Linked DNA regions of Caenorhabditis elegans. The protein of the gene in region 1 purifies or fractionates together with the protein of each later gene. This does not show direct contact. Each region holds a gene or a part of one and is shown in the gene's direction. Other genes may lie near its edges. The genes, in order: sas-5 and sas-4.

Region 1 (4,528 bases):
GTTGAGTTTGCAAACGAGGTTCAGATAAAGAGAAAAAAGGAAGTATTTCTATAGATATTTTTCTGTAAAATTTTTTACTGGTTATAGATGTGAGTTTGATATTATAGGTGTGGGTCGCAATACTATTAGAGAAAATGGGGTATTATTTTTAGTGATAGATTTTACTTTAAACTAGGGCTGAATAATAAACGAACCTGGTTGTACTTTGATTGAAAACCATACTCTTGACATGGAGACAAATTACAGGATAAATATAACTGAAGTTTTGTAGTTCCCAAAAGGAAAAACGTTGCCTTAATGTATATAAATTATTATTTTTGCATCACATTCAAAATTATTTTTTAGATTATATAAAAAATATTTAAAAGAAATGAGATAAAAATTGTTTATGAGTGGATGATAATACAGTTAAATCATACTTTGAAAATTACCCGAAAAAAAACTACAAAAATGCCAACTCTTAAAAATAACTTGTTTTTCATAATACAGATAATTCCAGGAATTCAAATATCGTCTTATTGGGAAGTTCTTGTTTGATTTCCACAGGTTGCCATACATGAGTTGTAGTTGGGGAAGTTGTTGGCATTTCCGAGAGTTCCATAGAATGAGAAACGCATGCAAGTTGTGTATTTTGGAACCCAGAAGTATTTGTCACTTTTCTCTCCTCCGACAGCAAACTTTCCAGAGTCATATGTCAAGTTGCAAAGATAGTCTGTGAATTTGAAATTTAAGAATAAAACATTTAAACATTTGATGCTTACTGGATGTTGGACAACAGAATGATTGAATACAGTTATGACCCTGTGGGCAAGTATTAGCTCCTGCTGAGCATCTCACTGGTGTCAAGTGGTCAGTGTCATAGGTAGCAGAGCAAGCAGCTTAAAATTTTTAGAATAATTGCCATAGTTACTAGCTAACCTCACTTACACTTCATTTGAACGGTTTCATCACTTGACTCCGAGTCTCTTTGAGCTTGAGCATTGGTACAAGCTGATCTACACTCTTGTGCACTACTGAACCGGTTACTATTACCACCACATCCCTGATACATGAATGGTTGACACGTTCCAAGTCTTGGAAGATAATAGAACATTCTAGAAGAACTGTTCTCAGCGCAAGTATTTCCAGAGTCCCGTGCAGCAAAACAGTCAACAGAAGTCGATTGAGCCGCAGTGAAAGACAATAGGGAGAGAATCTAAATAATAATTACATTTAAATTAACTGAAAGTCGTATGTAGATCTAAAGTAGATCTATTTCTGGATTTAGTAGTTTTTAATTTAACTAAGTTTCAAACCTCATAATTAAAAGGATTTTAAAACTCACCACAGCCAATCTAAGTGCCATTTTAGTTTTGCCACGTGAAAATGTTGTACTCGAGTTCTGGATTTCTTTTAAATAGGCCATCGAGATTCCCGCCCCTTTAAACTATTGTACTGGCAATCGTGTAAGCTCTTGCTACCGTGCAACACCACCAACAGTCAAATCCAAATTCCAGTTTTGATCTGACCCCACGGAGCAAACATTGTGTGTATAATGTACATATACTGTTGGCTCCTTCGCACTGACTTTTTTACCACGCTGATTTATTTTGAGACACTTTTTCTGTGTCTCGCTGTCTATCTGTGTACAGAGGAAAAATTTTCTCGGAATTTTTAGAAAACCAGTCGGGAGTGTTTACTTGTTTTTTAATACTTTTAATACATTGGAAAATTGTGTAGGTTGAGAAGATTTTTTGTTTGAAAATCTGTCAATCTAAATTTGTTCAACTGATCAGGAACATTCTTCTAAATTGCAGATAATATGAGAAAGTAGAAAATTCTGTTGTTTTATAATAATATCATTTAATTTAATTACAATCTTCTTTCGTCCCCGAATGGTCATGCGAAAAGAAATGTGAGAAAATATACAATGTGCGCGCTCATCTTGCAAAAAATGTGCGCGGGGGTTGCAGCAGAGGCCACGCCCCCGCGACACCAACGCGCCAATTTTAAAGAAAAAACGTTTTATTTTCCAATTTCATAGTTTTAACAGAAATGACCTCGCATTAAGCGGGAATGAATAATTACGACGACTTACCCTGCTCTATTTACTTCAAAAAACCAACTGGTGAGTTGTTTTCGATATAAAAGTGTTAAAATTGCCAATTTAGTCCAGGAGTTTGTGGATCAACCGAGAGTCTTCGAAGATTCTGAAGTCCCTGCCTTTCAAGAAGTTCTTCAGCTTCCACAAGAAAGGACAAAACCCCCAGTACCATCTACGCAGCCAATTGTCGCCGCTGTAGAAGTAGCCAAGAAAAAATCGTGTCTTTCGGCTCCGAAACCAAGAAAAGAGCCACCTTCGCATCCAGCGCTTCGCCAAAAAACAGTTGCGTTTGGAAAAACAGTTAACGTTTCCCAAACTGTCGAGGTAATTAAATTAAAATTGTTCCATGGCATAATTCCACTAAATTATCTTTCAGGGAACATCTCGGAATTCAAAAAAAGTGCTTGCTTCAACAATGTCTGCCCAAAATACGACAACGACTGAAGAACAGGCAGCTGAAAACTGGCGGGACGCTATGAAAACAGAACTGCAAACGATACGAACAGAGATTCAAGAAGAAACGGCCCGGCGACAAGAAGAGCTCAATGCTCAAAATCTTGTTAAAATGCAAGAATTGATGTCAAACTTCTTTCAGAGTATGTTTGAATATATATTATCCCATAAATTCAATAAATAATAATTTTTCAGAGATAACGATTCCTAAACAGCAAGCGATCGAACCAGTTGAAAAAGACAAAGAAAATTTTCATGAGAGTCCTCGTCAATCAAGACAGCAGAAGCCAGCTAGTAAAGTGAGAATTCAGATAAAAAATAAATCAAAAAGTACTCCGTTTTAAGATCGCTTCGGCACGAGAAGTTATCAAAAGAGACGGTGTTATACCTCCAGAAGCATTAACAATTATTGAGCAACGCCTTCGCTCGGACCCAATGTTTCGCCAACAAATTGATAATGTTCTAGCAGACGTGAGTAGTGTATTTAAATCCGATAGAAATAGTTTGTTTTCAGGCTGAATGTGATGCTAACAGAGCTGCATATTCTCCACCACCACCAATGTCTGAAGTTAGATACGGATCTGGTGTGAATCCTGCTTTGATGAGAGAAACACTTACGGTAGAACGAAGTATTCGATATGACAACGGACTCGCTTCTATTGATTCTAGACAGTGGACAAATGAGAGACGTGATAATCGTGGTAATTTAATTTTTCAATATTCAAACACAGAATTCGTCCGCTAGAATTGTATAAATATAATAATTCACGCATTCCAAAATGTATCAAATAATTCATTAAAAATGTTTGAAAGTTGATAACCATTCGTAGTGAAAACACTTTATACTACGAAATGATTTTAAGATGAAATCCTCAAATCAGTTGAAAAATTTGAATTAAAAGTCAAAAATGAGAAGTCTCTTCACTATTCAAAAAAACCTTTTCTAGCTCCTGACTCATACCGTACCTACGAACCGGATCAACCATGTCACTCACTCTATCAAAAGGGTCAAAGTATTAGCTATTATCCGTCAGAAGCAGCTGGAAAAACGACAGCTAGAAACAATCGAACTGGATACTACGTGGAAGATTCATCAGATCATGAAGAGGATGTTGTAGTCAATAAACGGGGACAGAACTATCACGAGCAAGCGGTACCTGAGACTCCAGCTGAACGAGAACGCCGTATTCGTGAAAAATACGCTCGCAGGAAATGATATCAAATGTGTTTAACTCTTGACGTTTTAAAATTATCATTAATCACTACGTGTAATGTCTGTGAATTGTACTAAAACCATTACTTCCAGCTGTGACCTGAATAAATTTTGAATTTCATCGATTCTTTCTCATTTGATCATATGATCGAGATAGTCTCGAACTTAATTCGATTTTCAGCACTTCACACTTCTGTCATTGTTTGACAAGTACCAACTTGACCTTTCCATCGGTCTCCTTCAAGAGTTTCATTTGTGTACGAAATAAAAATGAAAATTCTAGTAGTGTACGTGTTAATTGGAGAAGTTCTACGAATTTTTAAACTACAAGTTCATAACTTTTAAAACAAACTGTTATGGCATGTACACATGTGTTCCTGTATTAAAACACTTGCTGTCTTCAGACTTTCCAATTGAAAAGATACACTTTCACTTGATTTTCCATATGCAAGCAAGCGTTTTGAACTATCACTACCTTTCTCTATTTTTGATTTCTCTTCCTGTTGACTTTTGCACCCGAATTTTTTGAATTTCTTTTGTCAAAATCTAGTAAATATTGACATTGATTATTTATAGAGAGTAGGTGGAAAATTAGAAAATATAAAAGATTAGGTGTGTCTTGTTCATCTTTGCAAATTTGTTTTTTGGCATTTTCAAAAAGTTCGAGAGAGCACCCAGATGTTTGGACTTCAACTGTTCCATTGTACTCTCCCCATTTATAAACTCTGCGATTTTTCCCATTTCTCTCTAAACACTGATACCACAGTTTTATCAGGATT
Region 2 (6,693 bases), on another chromosome or scaffold:
CTTATAAAATTATATTTTACAAATAGTTATCTGCAAGTATCTACCCATTGACATCCTTATTTAACTCATTTCTTCTTTTTTCTTCTTACAATAATAATAATGTGTTCAGGATGGTCACAGTGATACCAAAAATAATAAGTTCTCCATATCCTCGGACACGCCTACCACTGTACCTCTACACTGTTTCCATCGTAAGAATTACCAATCAATAGAAAATTCAAGTTTACACCTATAATTCTAGATTATTTCCTGCTCTTTATTATACTGGAATCTTCTTTACTGCAAAAATTATGACTGTGTCGTTGAGAAGGAATTTCGATGGGGAAGTACTCGGCACTTACTACAGGTATCATACAATTTGGTACCATAAAGAAATGACATAACTTTCAGTACTTTCCGGTGATAGCAGCTCCGATTATAATGGTAATATCGTTTTCTTGGTTAATAATTGCAATATATTATTCAAGTAGTTCATGTGTTCTTACATTCAATTTTATGGTAAGTTTTATAGGAAGGAGGAATAAAATAAATATTGAAATTAAAGGAAATGCCATCTGCAGTACTTTGTTCTCTACTTGGTGGTATTAGTTCTGTAATAGAAATTCATTTTTCCATTGAAGTAAATCAAGTTCAATGGACTGATCAGTGGTTACTGTCATCTGTGGGTTTACCAATCAACGATTGTTTAAAAATCGATATTTTCAGGGATCTTCAATACTTTTATGCCTTTTACATGCTACAATTGCGTTCACACTTCAATAATCCTTCCAACATATTTGAATTTCCAATCTTCTTCAAATCGATGTGAAAAAACTTGTATCATTGTTTTTATCAAATATGAAACATTTTATAGGAATCAAAAATATTATGTGAACTGTGATATTTACTCTTGCTCAATTCATTTCATGTAAATATTATTTTGATACTCATTACTGGCATAAATTATATTTTCGAAATTCATGTCACGAGCGCGGATGATGAGGGACAATTCGAATTAATTCTCTTTTTCTCAACAAAAACAATTAAATTTTGAACCTCCCTCCGTTTTCTTTGAAAATGGCCTAGAATTGTGATGGCCGTGGACTAGCATTTTCCCTAGCACGACGGCGGGAATTGTCTGCGTCATCTTCGTCTTGCACGCTCTCTCGTTACCCCCCGCTGTGGTTATTATACCGTTTACCACCTTAATCCCTTCAAAACGCTTTTATAATTTCACATAATCTCTTCTTAGAAATCTCAATCGTTTATTCAGATGGGAAATCGATCAAAGACAGACAATGCAACTGCCGTGGCATCGCAACCACCCAAAAAAGTTAAATCGTAAGTTTTCTTTCCTATTTTCAAAACTAATATATCTGAAATCATCAACATTTTTAGGAAAAAGCAAAAGAAAATGAGCTTTTCACAAGCACAAGACGTATATCTTCGTCTGAAGCAAGAAAAAGAAGAGGAGAAACAACGAGAGCGAGCCGAACGAGAAAAGCGAAATGAGACGATTGCAGCGACAAATAAATCAAGAAAGAAGATGAATCAGGCATTGGCAAAAAGAAATAAAAAAGGACAACCAAATCTGAATGCTCAAATGGATGTACTTCTCGAGAGGATACAGAAAAGAGTGGATAAGGAGAAAAAGGAGAAGAAATGAACTAATTGTTTTGTCTTTTATATTTTCAGATTTTTTTTGTTGAAATGAAATTGTTGTGTTTTTAAAAATCGATAGTTTTATCGTTTCTTCGTTTCTTACCGATAGTATACTTTATTTTCTGAAATATAATTCAATTATTTATTAAAAACCTTTTCAGCCTTCAGATGGCTTCCGATGAAAATATCGGTGCCGACGGTGAACAGAAGCCTTCTCGGCCGTTTTTGAGAAAAGGACAAGGAACAGCAAGATTTAGAATGGTAGTTTGTGCAAATACAAGGCTTATCGAAATAATATATGAAGTTCAGCCTAGAAACAACAAAACATCTGCTGGTGCACCTCCAACGTCGGAACTTTCATCTGCTTCAAGTCCTTCTATTAATGTTCCTAGGTTTAGTCTGTCGGTAAGTAAAATATCTTAAATACAAACGTTATAAAACTGTGGTGACTAGTTAAATATAAATATTAAGTAGAATTATTCCAGAATGCTCTCCCGAACTCTGCCCGAACCGTGGACAGTGGAATATCAAATGAAGACGAGACCCGTCCACCAACCACCGCATCTCTTCCAATGGATCAACCATCATTGTCATCTTCGCCGGAAAATCGTCTAAATCCCGCACCTTCCGTTGCTGAAGAGCATGGCCACAGTGGACAGCACGCTGAAGAAGAAGAAGACAATGACACGGATGAAGTATCTGCAATGCCTTCTTTTGTGCCTGATGAACCTTCGACTCTTGTTAATTCAGATCATGAATTGTCTGATGATGCTTTAAAGTATAAAAATGCAGCTGCCGAATTCAAAGCTTTTGAGAGAAGAATGGATTCGGTAAGAACAGCCAAATCAGAATGATAATTGAAATTTTACATAGAATAGATTTACGTATCAAAAATCAAAACCTACGAATACTCTCTAATTCAAAATTTAATTAATTAAAATTAAAGATGAGATCAGCTTCAACAATCACAACATCACTGGCAACGCCATCATCTTGTGCACCATCAAACTCCTCTGAGCCTCCTACTCGGTCTACACCAATTATGAACGATTTAGGCGTTGGCCCAAATAATCACAATTGGCCGTCTTCAATGCAAGAATTATCAGGAATTTCTCTGGAAACACCACAGGCTCGACCGCTTGGCAGCAATAGAATTAATCAGCTTGGTAGGTTAATAACAAAAAAAACATGATTGATTAGATTTTTAGTTCGAAGTGAGGCTCAAACGGGAATAAGCCTTTTACAACACCATGAAAGACCTACTGTGACCGCCCCATTGAGACGAAATGATATGATGAACTCATCACGACAGAATCCACAGAATGGAAATGTTCAAGATGAAAATCGACCCGAGCACGTTTATGATCAACCAATACATGTTCCTGGATCATCACTGGACCGACAGAAACTTGAAATTGAAATTCGACGTCATCGTAACTTGAACATACAACTGAGAGACACTATTGCTCACTTGGATTATGCAGAAGAATCCGTGCACACCACAAAACGACAGCTCGAAGAAAAAATTTCCGAAGTCAATAATTTTAAGAAAGAACTGATAGAAGAATTTAAGAAATGCAAAAAAGGAGTTGAGGAAGAATTTGAGAAGAAGTTTGAGAAAATTAAGGAAGATTATGATGAACTTTACGAGAAATTGAAGAGGGATCAACGAGATCTTGAACGAGATCAGAAGATATTGAAGAAAGGAACGGGAGAAAGGAATAAAGAATTCACAGAAACGGTAATTAAGAATTTAAGCAAGAAATAGTTATTCGAGAAAAACCACGAAATTTCGATTGAAAATTTTTCTCAAAGCAAAATCTAAAATTTTCATTGAAATAAATTGAGAATTTAAAAAGTTGAAATTCTATTATAAAACCTTTAATTTAAAATCCAGCAAAACTTGTCAAATTTCAGATAGCCACTCTCCGCGACAAATTAAGAGCATCAGAAACCAAGAATGCACAATATCGACAGGATATACGTGTTCGAGACGAAAAGCTCAAGAAAAAAGACGAGGAAATCGAGAAGCTTCAGAAAGACGGAAACCGGCTAAAGAGCACTCTACAGACTTTAGAAAAGCGCGTAAAACAATTACGTACTGAAAAAGAACGCGACGATAAAGAAAAGGAGATGTTCGCGAAGGTTGCAATGAATCGAAAAACTTCGAATCCAGTGCCACCAGTTTTGAATCAAAGTGTTCCAATTTCGATAACATCAAATGGTCCATCTAGACATCCATCATCATCTTCGTTGACAACATTTAGAAAACCATCTACATCAAATCGAGAAAGAGGTGTTAGTTGGGCAGATGAACCAAATGAACAATCATTGGAAGCTGTACCACAGGAGTTTTTGATGGTAATATTTAGATCAAAGCAGGGTTTTTTTAAAATTGTTTTTAGAATATTGCTCTGAAAAAATCAATTCAAAAAAAATTTCAAATTATTTTTTCTTCCCGACTAAAAAATTAATATTTTTGAAAAATAGTTTTTTAAGTCTAAAAATTTACAGCTTACTATTAGCATTTGCCGAAAGTTCCGATTTTTCAAAATTCCCAGAATTAAAAATCAATAGTTTTCGAGTTACCGAAAATTGTCAAAAAAAAATTTTAAATCATGCTTTTTGAAGATGCCAGTCAAAGAAATGCCGGGAAAATTTGGAAAATGCACGATCTACAGAGATTCTCTTGGAGAAACATCTAAAGTGACGGATACAATAGCTAACGGTCTTCTTTTCGAATATTCCAATGGAGATCTTCGATGGGTTAATCGGCAGAACGCTGTTAATGTAAGTTTTAATTGGAATTTTGTCAATTAAAGTGACCAATTTACAGATCTACATATCCGCAGTTGATAAAACAGTCAGAATTGATCTCCCCACATACAATATTTCAATTATTCATACATTTCAAAGGCAAGTTGAAGTACTTCGTCCTGGAAATAACATAACATTGATAAGTATTAAACGACGAGAAGTTCGAACTGATTTGATTTATCAAAACGGAATGTATAAAACTGAAATGTAAGATTATTTTCTTTTTTAAAGTTCATCGGAAATTTCGTATTTCAGCTTCAATAGGGACGGAAGATATGTTACGAAGGATTTTAGCAATCAAGAAGTTTCGAGAAAGTGAGTCTCTATTCATTTTCCAATTAATTATTCAGAAAAACCATTAAAATCTCAAAACTATTACCCAGATGTTTAATTTAATTTAATTTAATTTATTACGATAGAAGATATCGTTAGGTAGAAAAAAAAACACACACACATTAATAGATACAAACCATCACAAGTGGTTACATAAATAAATTACATAAATAAAACGAAACAAAAATAAAAAAAGAGATGTGACATTTTGCGGCAAAAAATGTCTCGGCACGATAAAATTTAGTTAAATGGGAAAAGGCGTGCGCCTTTAAATATTACTGTAGTTTAAAAATCGCGTTACTGTCGAATTGTTGTTTGCCCCTTTTTTTTTTGATAAAAACATGTTTATTAGTTTAGAAAAAAGATAAATAAACCAAACTACAACAGTCTTTATAGGCGCACGTATTTTCACATTTAAAAATCTGTCCTTTAACGAAAAAATTGTAAAATTTGGCGCCTTCAAAGAGTACTGTAATTTCAAACTCAATTTGAAACAGAATTTTCATCGATTTTCCTTAGTTAGTTTTTCGATGAATTTTAATTTATTCATTAAAAAAACTCAAATAAGTATAACGATATTTTAGCAAATAATATATTTTCAAACAAAACATGTTTCTATAATTTTTGTCTAACCCAAAATTTAGGAATATGACCTCAATTCTTCAAAAAGTTAGTAAAACAGGTTTAAAACCCCGTTATAAATATTTTTGCCTCTGAAACCTATCAAATTTTCAGATACAATCCCGGTACACACACATATCGCGACAATCAATGTCGCTACGTTCTCGTCACTGATTACAACGATTTTGAGCTCGTTGAGCCAGAATTCCGTCTTCGTTGGTATCAGGGAGATCCGACTGGTCTCAACAATCAGTATATTCTCAAGATCATTGGACGACCTGAATGCAGCGAGAAAACATTGAGACTTGAAGTGAATCTTTCCACGTGTGAAGGTACATTGGAAACTGCAGAGATGATAGGCGATAAACGTCGGAAAACAACTTTGTTCCAGTGGAAAAAATGAGAAATTCCAACCCCTTTATTTTAACTTGTGGTTTGTATATCTATTCCATTGACATTATTTTTCACTCCTGAGTGCTCTAAAATTATAATTAATTCTACCTCCTGTAAAATCATATCAAATAATTCAATCATTTTTTACTATCTCAATTTTCACTTGCCCCCTCCCCCATTTCTTTCATATTGATCTTCATGGTTATTTTATTGACTGTTATAAACAATTTTAACTTTAAATGTTCTGCACAAAATTCGGGATTCAGATTGCAAAGATTTATTGGAACACTGGAGACATTTCAAGATGATCTCGGATCTTCTGCACGACTCGACGGACTCAAACTTTGAACATTTTCGTGTGAGATTTTCTTTTCTTTTTCCGCACTTTTCTTCTCTTTCTTCTCCTCACCACTTCCATCTTTCTTCTGATCATCTACATCCAGGAGCAGCATCTTGTGACGTGTAATCTTTAGATCACTGAGACGAGTTTTCGAATCGCCGACTTCAAGAGGAGCCTACAATCATCCTTATCTTTTTATATTCAGAATATCAAAAAACTAACCGGGTCACCTCGACCAGAAAACTCGCCTTCGCCTTCTTCACTCGATGATTTCTGAGTTCTCAGAGTAATCATATGGGTCTTACCGCTGACACCAAGAAGCGTGTAGAGTCGAGCCATCAGATCGTCTGAACGATATAATTGTTTAAAAATCTTAGATTCTTAAGCTTACGATAAGTGGCATCCGTTGGAAGGCTGACAACGACTGGCTTTGAAAGGTACAAAAAGTACCAAAGACGTTGATCCGGAACCTTCTTATGTCGACGAGTCCTTCCACTTTTTGATTTGTTCACAGATCCTTTCCGAGTAGCACGAGTACTTCCTCGAAT

The links.
Region 2: the proteins of sas-5 (region 1) and sas-4 purify together in Caenorhabditis elegans (affinity purification with western blotting, with the first as the bait; one study listed by BioGRID). This does not show direct contact.

What each region holds. Positions count from the first base shown.
Region 1 is NC_003283.11:11,608,724-11,613,251, forward strand, and holds sas-5 (Spindle assembly abnormal protein 5), read left to right. Parts: upstream 1-2,013; 5' UTR 2,014-2,055; coding exon 2,056-2,107; intron 2,108-2,150; coding exon 2,151-2,407; intron 2,408-2,459; coding exon 2,460-2,679; intron 2,680-2,731; coding exon 2,732-2,835; intron 2,836-2,881; coding exon 2,882-3,007; intron 3,008-3,050; coding exon 3,051-3,237; intron 3,238-3,483; coding exon 3,484-3,752; 3' UTR 3,753-3,873; downstream 3,874-4,528. Other genes in the region: piit-1 (BPTI/Kunitz inhibitor domain-containing protein), read right to left, coding at 516-712, 762-878, 928-1,195, 1,325-1,345.
Region 2 is NC_003281.10:8,313,698-8,320,390, reverse strand, and holds sas-4 (Spindle assembly abnormal protein 4), read left to right. Parts: upstream 1-1,802; 5' UTR 1,803-1,809; coding exon 1,810-1,902; intron 1,903-1,950; coding exon 1,951-2,046; intron 2,047-2,126; coding exon 2,127-2,471; intron 2,472-2,587; coding exon 2,588-2,807; intron 2,808-2,849; coding exon 2,850-3,382; intron 3,383-3,558; coding exon 3,559-4,002; intron 4,003-4,272; coding exon 4,273-4,431; intron 4,432-4,477; coding exon 4,478-4,665; intron 4,666-4,713; coding exon 4,714-4,773; intron 4,774-5,526; coding exon 5,527-5,815; 3' UTR 5,816-6,042; downstream 6,043-6,693. Other genes in the region: F10E9.10 (uncharacterized protein), read left to right, coding at 111-191, 242-346, 391-498, 545-661, 706-762; F10E9.11 (rRNA-processing protein FYV7), read left to right, coding at 1,253-1,320, 1,378-1,645; F10E9.2 (uncharacterized protein), read right to left, coding at 6,105-6,320, 6,368-6,492, 6,537-6,693. UniProt on the Caenorhabditis elegans protein: Required for centrosome duplication. Plays a central role in determining centrosome size.